2 linked regions of the Danio rerio genome follow. The protein of the gene in region 2 interacts with the protein of the main gene of each other region in a biochemical or structural test. Links are inferred from orthologs where the notes say so. Each region holds a gene or a part of one and is shown on either strand. Other genes may lie near its edges. The genes, in order: sh3bp5a and btk.

Region 1 (4,607 bases), on a different chromosome or scaffold from region 2:
CTACTGCGTCGCCAAACAAATATGTATATATATACTGTGTTAAAATAGTTGGGTCAAAATACCATATAATCCATAGGTTATTATAGCACCTTACCAATTATGGGTTATTTTAACCCAGTGCATTGGGTTGCATAATTTAATTCAATGCAATGGGTTATTTTGATTAAATGTTATTGTTTTCCATTCTGGTATTACTGTTGTTAGTACTACTATTAGTTTAATAATTATGGCTGTGTAAATAAATAACATACTTTTAAAAAAAATTTGAAAACGCTTTATTTACTTTTAGTTCCAGAAACTTTTGTTAAAATAATTAGGAATCACAAACAATGAAGAAACAGAACAAAGAAGACAGATATAAACTGTGCAGGCAGAAAATCCTGTGTTGATGGAGCAGAATATGGAGCTCTGTGTGCTGTAGAGGCTGTCCAGCAGCTGCAGCAGGCTTTACTCAGTGTCCACAATGTACAATACATTTTAACCACAAACAAACACTTATAAAAGATGGTCTTGGTGAAACGGATAAAAAAAAAAAACACGACACGAAGAGGTAATTTGATTAAAAAAAAAACATTATTGAGTTACAGCTTAAATGAACTTTATAAAGAAAAAACAACATTACGCACACATATTAATACAGCTGTTTTGTGTCAGTTACATCGGTTCACTGTTGAAACTCAAATATTTAACCCAACTGGTTGAGTTATTAAATAAATAACCAAATAAAGGTTAAAAATAACCCAACAAAGCACCAAATATTTAACCCAACTGGTTGAGTAATTAATATATAAACTAATAAAGGTTAAAAATAACCCAACAAAGCACCAAATATTTAACCCAACCATTGGGTAAAATAAATAACTCATTGTTTTTTAGTGTATATATGTAAAACAGTTAACAGATAATATCTAAAAATATATGTTAAACCATTTTAATTATAATATATACAATCAATAATTTATGAATTCAGTCTAATTACATTACTGACCTCAAAACATAATCATGAAATTATTCAAATATCGCAGGTTGATTTTTGTTGTTGATGGGATTATTCGTCTACAAGGAGCTGCACATGCATGATGTCGAATGTTCTCCACCAGAGAGCGCCATTTCCCAATGTTTCTCAAAGCAGTGGAAACACTTTTACAGACGTTTATTAGAACATTCGGGAATTTACATTTTGCTTAAACTCTAAGTAATTCTAAATTGTTTTAACCAACATAAGGTTGAAATATGGATAATCCGATTTTTGTTACGGCTATTCATGCTGTCTCAACATAAATCAGTTAAGTTATTGTTACAAAAGTGGACTAAACTTTAAAAAAAAATTAAGTTTCTCGCAAAAATCGCCAAAATTGCGTTTAGCTTGTTTTAAATATGAAGTCTGAACATGCAAAAATAAAAAATACAAATAAAAAAATTGAGTGTGCGGGCAAATTAACTTTTCTAGTCATCTCAACTTACACCAACTGACAACAAATAATAAGTTAAACTTTGAGTAAAATAGTTGAAACTTGATTAGCCTATTAAAATAAATTAAAGCATCATTCAAGTATGTATTGCAATATTTTTTGTTACATTTTTACACTAATACTAACTAAAAAACGCAGATAAAGCAGTTATTTCCCGTGTTTCTCTCTCTCTGTGTGCGTGTGTGTGTGTGTGTGAACTGTAGTGACCCTCCTCTTGAGCACAGCAGCGGGTGTTTGTGCCGGAGGAGGCGGGCAGGATCTCGGCAGATCTCATTCTCCTTCTGCCGGTGTTTTCTACGGGTGTGTGTGTGTTGGTATAAGCACGATATCTTTCATATCTAATGTGAGGGATCGATTTAGTCTCTTTTAATCGCGTTTTCTGGCTGTCTAATGGAGTGACCGCAGATGCGCGGATCTGGAACCCGTTATCCCGGACAGAGACACGCTTTGTTCAGCCGGTAAAGAAAAACAATCACGTCTACAAGCAAAATGAACGAGCCGGAGAAAGAGAACAAATCTGATGAAGACTCGGAGTCTCTGGAGGAAGAAGAGGTCGACCCGAGGATTCAGGTATGAGATGGAAATCAATGCGAGAATTCACAACGACAAAAAGGCTTAAAGCGGATTAAAACGAAAGCTGAGGGGATTCCTACAGGCTCTATCATAGTAAATATGTGGAATTGTCTAACTTATTCTTATTTAACCTTGACAAAACCTGAACTGAAGTTAAATTGCACGGGCTTTTAAACGTATAGCTGCAAAACTCGAGCATATTTTGTCGTGTAATATACGATTCCAGCCCTATGCTTGTTCAGATTGTCATAAAAACCAGCTGGTGTTTGATTTGATGAGGGGAACCCCAAATCGTTACATCATCTCTTATTTTATGTTACATTGTTTCATTGTTGCATTGACAATCTGATACATGTTTACTTTGACGTCATATTTAGAACTCAGTTTCCTCTGGTAAAGAAACAATTGATCTCACGTGCACTGCATGCAGGATTCAGTGTCGTTTCTGAAGGGCAAGTTGGTCTTATACTCGCACATTCAGACTTTTACTTCTTAAAATCATTTCATAAAAGTATTATTTACGAATTCTATATAGAGAAATCATGTTAGCAGTTTAGGACTAATCAGTTAATAAAATAGTAATGTTGTCTTAAAGTCATAATAGGCAAGGCAAGGCAAGTTTATTTATATAGCACATTTCATACACAGTGGCAATTCAAAGTGCTTTACATAAACAGGAATAAAAAAGACAAGTTTAGGAACATAAAATGCAGACAATAAAAATTATTAAAAACATATAAAAACAAATTAAAATGAGTTAAAATAGGTTATAAAAGAATGAAAAAGAAAACGAAAAACATAATAGTGCGATCTGTCGGATCATAATGCCATTTCAAACTGATTATTCAAAATAAACTACACAGGGCCGTAGCTAGCCTGGTGAAAATGGTGTTTTTTTTCTCAATAAGTGGACCTTTTTGCAGTTATTCACCTCATTTTCTATTTAATCATGAGGTTTAAATACTGCATTTAGGTGACATTAAGCACACATTTTAGCTGAATTAGCTTGTCAGGTTAGGGTTAGGGTCATAACTACACTTTTTGCTGTATCAAACATATTTCTTATATCATTAGAATAAAAAAAAAATGACAAATATTAATCATATATCTTTACAAAAAAGTTTTAAATTGAAAACTGTAGCTTATTGTGTCATTTATAAGATGAATAACAAACTGGCCAGCACATTCAACTTTCCTCAGTCACAATTTGTCCATTTGAATAATAAAAAAAATAAAACATAATAGGCGATGCGGTGGCACAGTAGGTAGTGCTGCCGCCTCACAGCAAGAAGGTCGCTGGTTCGAACCTCGGCTGGGACCGCTGCCATTTCTGTGTGGAGTTTGCATGTTCTCCCCATGTTGGTGCTCCGGTTTCCCCCACAGTCCAAACACATGCGCTTTAGGGGAATTGAATGAAGTAAACTGGCCGTAGTGTATGAGTGTGTATGGATATTTCCCAGTACTGGGTTGCGGCTGGAAGGGCATTCGCTGTTTAAAGCATATGCTGGAATAGTTGGCGGTTCATTCCGCTGTGGCGACCCCTGATGACTAAAGGGACTAAGCCGAAGGAAAATGAATGAATGATAATGGTTCTACTGTATGGCATCACTGTGAAAACTCTTTTAGTTCTCATATAGAATTAAGAGCTTAAAGTCTGTCCTGATACTTTATCTTCTTCTTCTTGAGTGCTTGTTTTATCATTCAAAAGATCTTTTTGTAACATCTTTTGCTTTAAAAGTGCACGTGAAGAACGTCCTTTACAATAAAAGAAGGCATTTCTCTTGATACGAGAGCACTGCAAAGAGCCTTGTGCTGAAGACTGTGCTAGTTGAACTGGTTTTTCATCCTCCACCCATGTAGGAAAACAAACGCATGATCTGCAAATGAAAACAACATCTGTGTGTCATCAGCGTGAAGCTAACATCAGCGCGCATTTCAGCTTCACTTTAGCATTGGGTTACATCAATAACACTTTCCAGATGTTGTTCCACTGACATCTAACTGCAATCTCCACTGCTTTATCTCTGCACAGGGAGAGCTGGAGAAACTGAACCAGTCCACGGATAACATCAACCAATGGGAGACAGAACTGGAGGTGAGCTTTCCACAGGCTTGCTTTGAGCTCTTGCTTGTTTCTGCTGAAAATGTTTGCAGGCGGAATTTCACAGTGGAACCAGTCTAAGAGCTCAGCTCCGCCCTCCATTCCACCACCTACCAATAGGAAGTTCCCTGTATGTGACTGACAGGTCTATATCTGTAGAGCAAACAGGGGAAATCTGGAATTCCTGCCCTGAAAGCCACAACTGCTTAAGAAGTCGTTTAGGAAAATGCTTGTCATTCCAATCCCTGGAGACTCTGCGTCTTCACTGGAATACAAACAAGGAGTAAATTGCCAGTGGTTATACTGGCACAAGAAATGTCCATTTCCTTGATTTGTTTCAGCTAATTTATAATATCCTTTAAAAGATTTTGCATATGCATCCTTACAAAAATATGTAGTTCTGTGGTAACTGATTACAGCATGGTATCCCAAAGTATTTCAATATAATTTAATAGTAATAC
Region 2 (3,826 bases):
ATAAAAAGCCAGTCAAATACTGGAAACTGCTCTTATTTTATTCAGTACACAGCTAAATGAAGAAGATGAAGTGTAGTCTTTAATTAAATACCCCTCAGATTTCATTCACAGGAGAGAATGTTTTTAATAAAATATACACAGATATATTTACACTAGATTTATTCTAGATCACACTTTGTTTTACATTGTACTAAGTTAAACTTATATATTTAGTATATCAATACACAGCCAAATCAACAAAAATCAACACACAGGCATTATGCATACGCATGCGTAGTTTTTACTGTTAATGTTGCTTGTTATTATAATTGTGATATTAAAAAGTACATTTTATTTTTAGATGAAACTGAAAGAAATTTTATAAATACAGCAGAGCTTTGAGGAAAATGCAGGAAGAGGAGGGGGGGGGGTGAAATATCTAATGAGAAATCACATTTCAATCTCCTGTTTTTGCAATGTTTCAAACTTACACTAATATATGAAAACGTATGTAACTCATCGTTCACATTACTGGGTTTCTCAGGTAAAAGAAATGAACTGAGAAGGTTATTCAAGACAGCTTTCATAATGATTCTTGATTGCTTTAGGTGGACTGTATCCTTCATGTCTACAGATGCACAGTAGTTATATCTCTTGCATACTGAAAAGCAAATCCTTGATGACCCCAACAAGTTCCTGGAACGTGGGCCTCTCATCGGGTCTCTGCAAAAAAGGGCAAACTCTTTAGTTTGTCAAATCACATTTGAATTATCAGATAAGATATTAGATTAAAAAAAATGTTCAGTATACACACACAGCTATATATACCTCATGCCAACAGCTGTTCATAATGGCAAAGACATTTTCATTGGCCATTTGTGGACGATAAAGCCGGTGTCCTGCAGAAATCTTCTCCACAATCTCTGTGTTGTTCCACCGATCGTACGGCATTCTGCCCTGAGTGTAAATCTCCCACATCAAAACGCCTGTCAGAGAGATAATAAACAATAATTAGCACTGTTTTATTGACTGAAGGTAATCTATGCTGAAAATGTAGCTGTGACACACCAAATGCCCAGATGTCTGACTTGCTGCTGAACTTGCAGTAAAGGAGGACTTCAGGAGGTGACCAGCGCACTGGAAACTTTGATCCGACAGAGCTGGTGTATTCATCATCCAGAACATATCTGCAAGGACAGCAACAGTTAGTAGTAATAATAAGCTGAAGTCAAAGTTATAAGCCCTCCTGTGATTTTGTTTTGTCTTTTATTAAATATTTTCCAAATGATGTTTAACAGAGCAAGGACTTTTTCATAGAATTTCCTATAATATTTTTTCTTCTGGAGAAAGTCTTATTTGTTTTATTTTGGCTAGAATAAAAAGCAGTTTTTAATTTTTTTTAAAATCACTTTTAAGGTTAATATTATTAACCCCTGTTGGGGATTTCATTGTGTCTTGATGAATTTCTGATGAATGTATTACTCTCATTTATATGCTTATTTGAGTGATTTCAGTATTATTATCTATTATAGTATTACCCATACCTGTGGCATTATTATCAGGTATGTGTGCTTTGGTAAATAAAAAAGTAATTCTGTGTAAATGCAGTCAGAGATGAGAAGATAAATTAGAAGAGCAGCATTAATGTCACAATGAGGGTTGATTTATGGAAGCAAGGCCATAAGGACACCTGCGTTCTGTTCTGTAACTCATGATAAAGCACACCTGCACGTGTGCCCACACACTTGTACTGACATCTAAAGAATTATGAGCACTTATGAACTTCAGCTGAACTTACAGTTGACAGTTCAGTGAACAAGATGTATTGTTGAGCATTGTTTTTTGGCTGAGTCATCGCTTTTGAAGCAGGAAGGAAAGACCTTAACTGGACATGGGTAAGACCCCTAAAAGACCCTGAGACTTTATTGGTGGCGGGCACCTAAGAGAGTTAAGATCCCATTAGCGGAGGAGCTGATGGAGGTGTGTAATGTGTAAATTAGGGTGGAGTATTAAGACACAGAGATGTATTTAAACTGTATGCAAGCCTATGTTCGGCAGACACTCGAACGACCTCTCTGTTGTTACTGATGCTGTAACAATAAACTGCTTCGTCTAAAGACTTCGAAGATCTCAGACTTTGTCATTTTTTGAAAAGTTTGACTTAAAGACTAATATTTTTGCAGACCAGAATCTTTTTTCCACAACACCCCCTATTAATATTAATATTAATATTAATATTATTAAGATTCAGGGACAATTTACAGGTGGGCTAATAAATTAAAAGGTCTGTTAAACTGTATATATATATGTAAATAATTTAGCTTAAAAAGGAAATATGTTGATATTTTATAAGGTCATAATTTTCACAAGCGTCAATATGCTTTCATGTTTTAGTTTAATTTATTTTTTTGTCACATGTTGTACTTTATTGCAACAAATTTATTCCCAGTCTAAAACTCTGTCCGATTGGGTTCTGGTTTTTACAACGAGCCTCCTGAAAAGCACAGTATGGTCAACTCTGATTGACCAAACACCTAAACCATTTGTCAGAAATGCAGCACTTCTTACCTAGACTGCTAGTTTTCTTTTCCAAGGCTTTTAGAGAAAATTAAAAAAACTAAACAAAAAGAGATTCTGACAAAACCTTCTTTGTAAATCTCTTGAAACAGACGCCATCACACTTTTTTTTTTTATTTGGGTATCCCTTTACATTAAGCTAATATATAGTTTTAATCAGGTCTGGATCATGCTCTCTGTTATGCTTCAGACTGCATGATTTTAGCCCCGATTTTGACTCGGCGACAGGCTTTGAGAAATTGCTGACAAATGCCTGAAATTACAGGCAAATCGGTGCTCGTTCATATGAGTAACGATCACACAGTGTTAACCATCAAAGACGTGATCTGAGAGAATTGCAGATGAGTCGCTAACACCCTAAATGCTATATATCTGGAGCTGTGTGAAATGTGTTTTGATCTAAAGTAACATCGCCGATTACCTACAGCTAGGCGACGCGGTGTTGCAGTAGGTAGTGCTGTTGTCTCACAGCAAGAAGGTCGCTGGTTCGAGTCTCAGTTGGGTTTCCTCCGGGTGCTCCGGTTTCCTCCACAGGTCCAGAGACATGCAGTATAGGTGAATTGAATAAGCTAAATTGTCTGTAGTGTATGTGTGTGAATGAGTGTGTATGGTTGTTTCCCAATGATGGGTTGCAGCTGGAAGAGCATCTGCTGTGTAAAACATGCTGGATAAGTTGGCGGTTCATTCCGCTGTGGTGACCCCAGATTAATAAAGGGACTAAGCCGACAAGAAAATGTATGTATGACTGATTACCTACAGCCAATGAGAGAACAGCGCCCACAACTGTGGATACCTTTTACAGTCATTGGTGGATACCTGCAGGCCATCGGGAGGATGGGGGAGAAGTTAAAAGTGATTTGGACACAAGAAATGGAGGAAAAACTAGTGCAAATTTGGTCTGAGCAACCGGGCAACCTCAACCAAGTCAAAAAAAAAGTTTGAGAGAAATTGCTAATGTTAGTTCCCTTTAAAGTCATGTGAGTAAAATAAGTAGATTTTCTACCCCTCTAAAGTCTTCTTTCTCATTATGTAGTTAATATTAAAATATATAGGCTACTACGTGACCTCGTGTTTCCATGTCACTACTCGTCTGTGTTTGTTTGTGAAACGTAGTTTAGACAAAGTTGTCTGCGATTCTTCCTATAGTAAAGTCATGCAGTTTGAAACCCTTTGTCGCCGATCCATCTTGCAGTGTAAACACACCACCAACAGAACGCTGTCCCAGACAGTCATGCAGTGTGAAAACATTCGTGACACGACTACTTTGAAA

The links.
Region 1: the proteins of btk (region 2) and sh3bp5a form a complex in vitro, tested with the Homo sapiens proteins (2 studies listed by BioGRID, with this or other methods). The link is inferred for Danio rerio from reciprocal best matches to the Homo sapiens genes BTK and SH3BP5.

The regions. Positions count from the first base shown.
Region 1 is NC_133194.1:2,323,492-2,328,098, forward strand, and holds the start of sh3bp5a (SH3 domain-binding protein 5), read left to right. Parts: upstream 1-1,671; 5' UTR 1,672-1,961; coding exon 1,962-2,042; exon of another isoform or gene 2,043-4,077; coding exon 4,078-4,140; exon of another isoform or gene 4,141-4,411; intron 4,412-4,607. UniProt on the Homo sapiens protein: Functions as a guanine nucleotide exchange factor (GEF) with specificity for RAB11A and RAB25. Inhibits the auto- and transphosphorylation activity of BTK. Plays a negative regulatory role in BTK-related cytoplasmic signaling in B-cells.
Region 2 is NC_133189.1:43,489,094-43,492,919, forward strand, and holds part of btk (tyrosine-protein kinase BTK), read right to left. Parts: intron 2,103-3,826; exon of another isoform or gene 1,167-2,102; coding exon 1,048-1,166; exon of another isoform or gene 1,015-1,047; intron 966-1,014; coding exon 808-965; intron 703-807; coding exon 625-702; 3' UTR 1-624. UniProt on the Homo sapiens protein: Non-receptor tyrosine kinase indispensable for B lymphocyte development, differentiation and signaling. Binding of antigen to the B-cell antigen receptor (BCR) triggers signaling that ultimately leads to B-cell activation.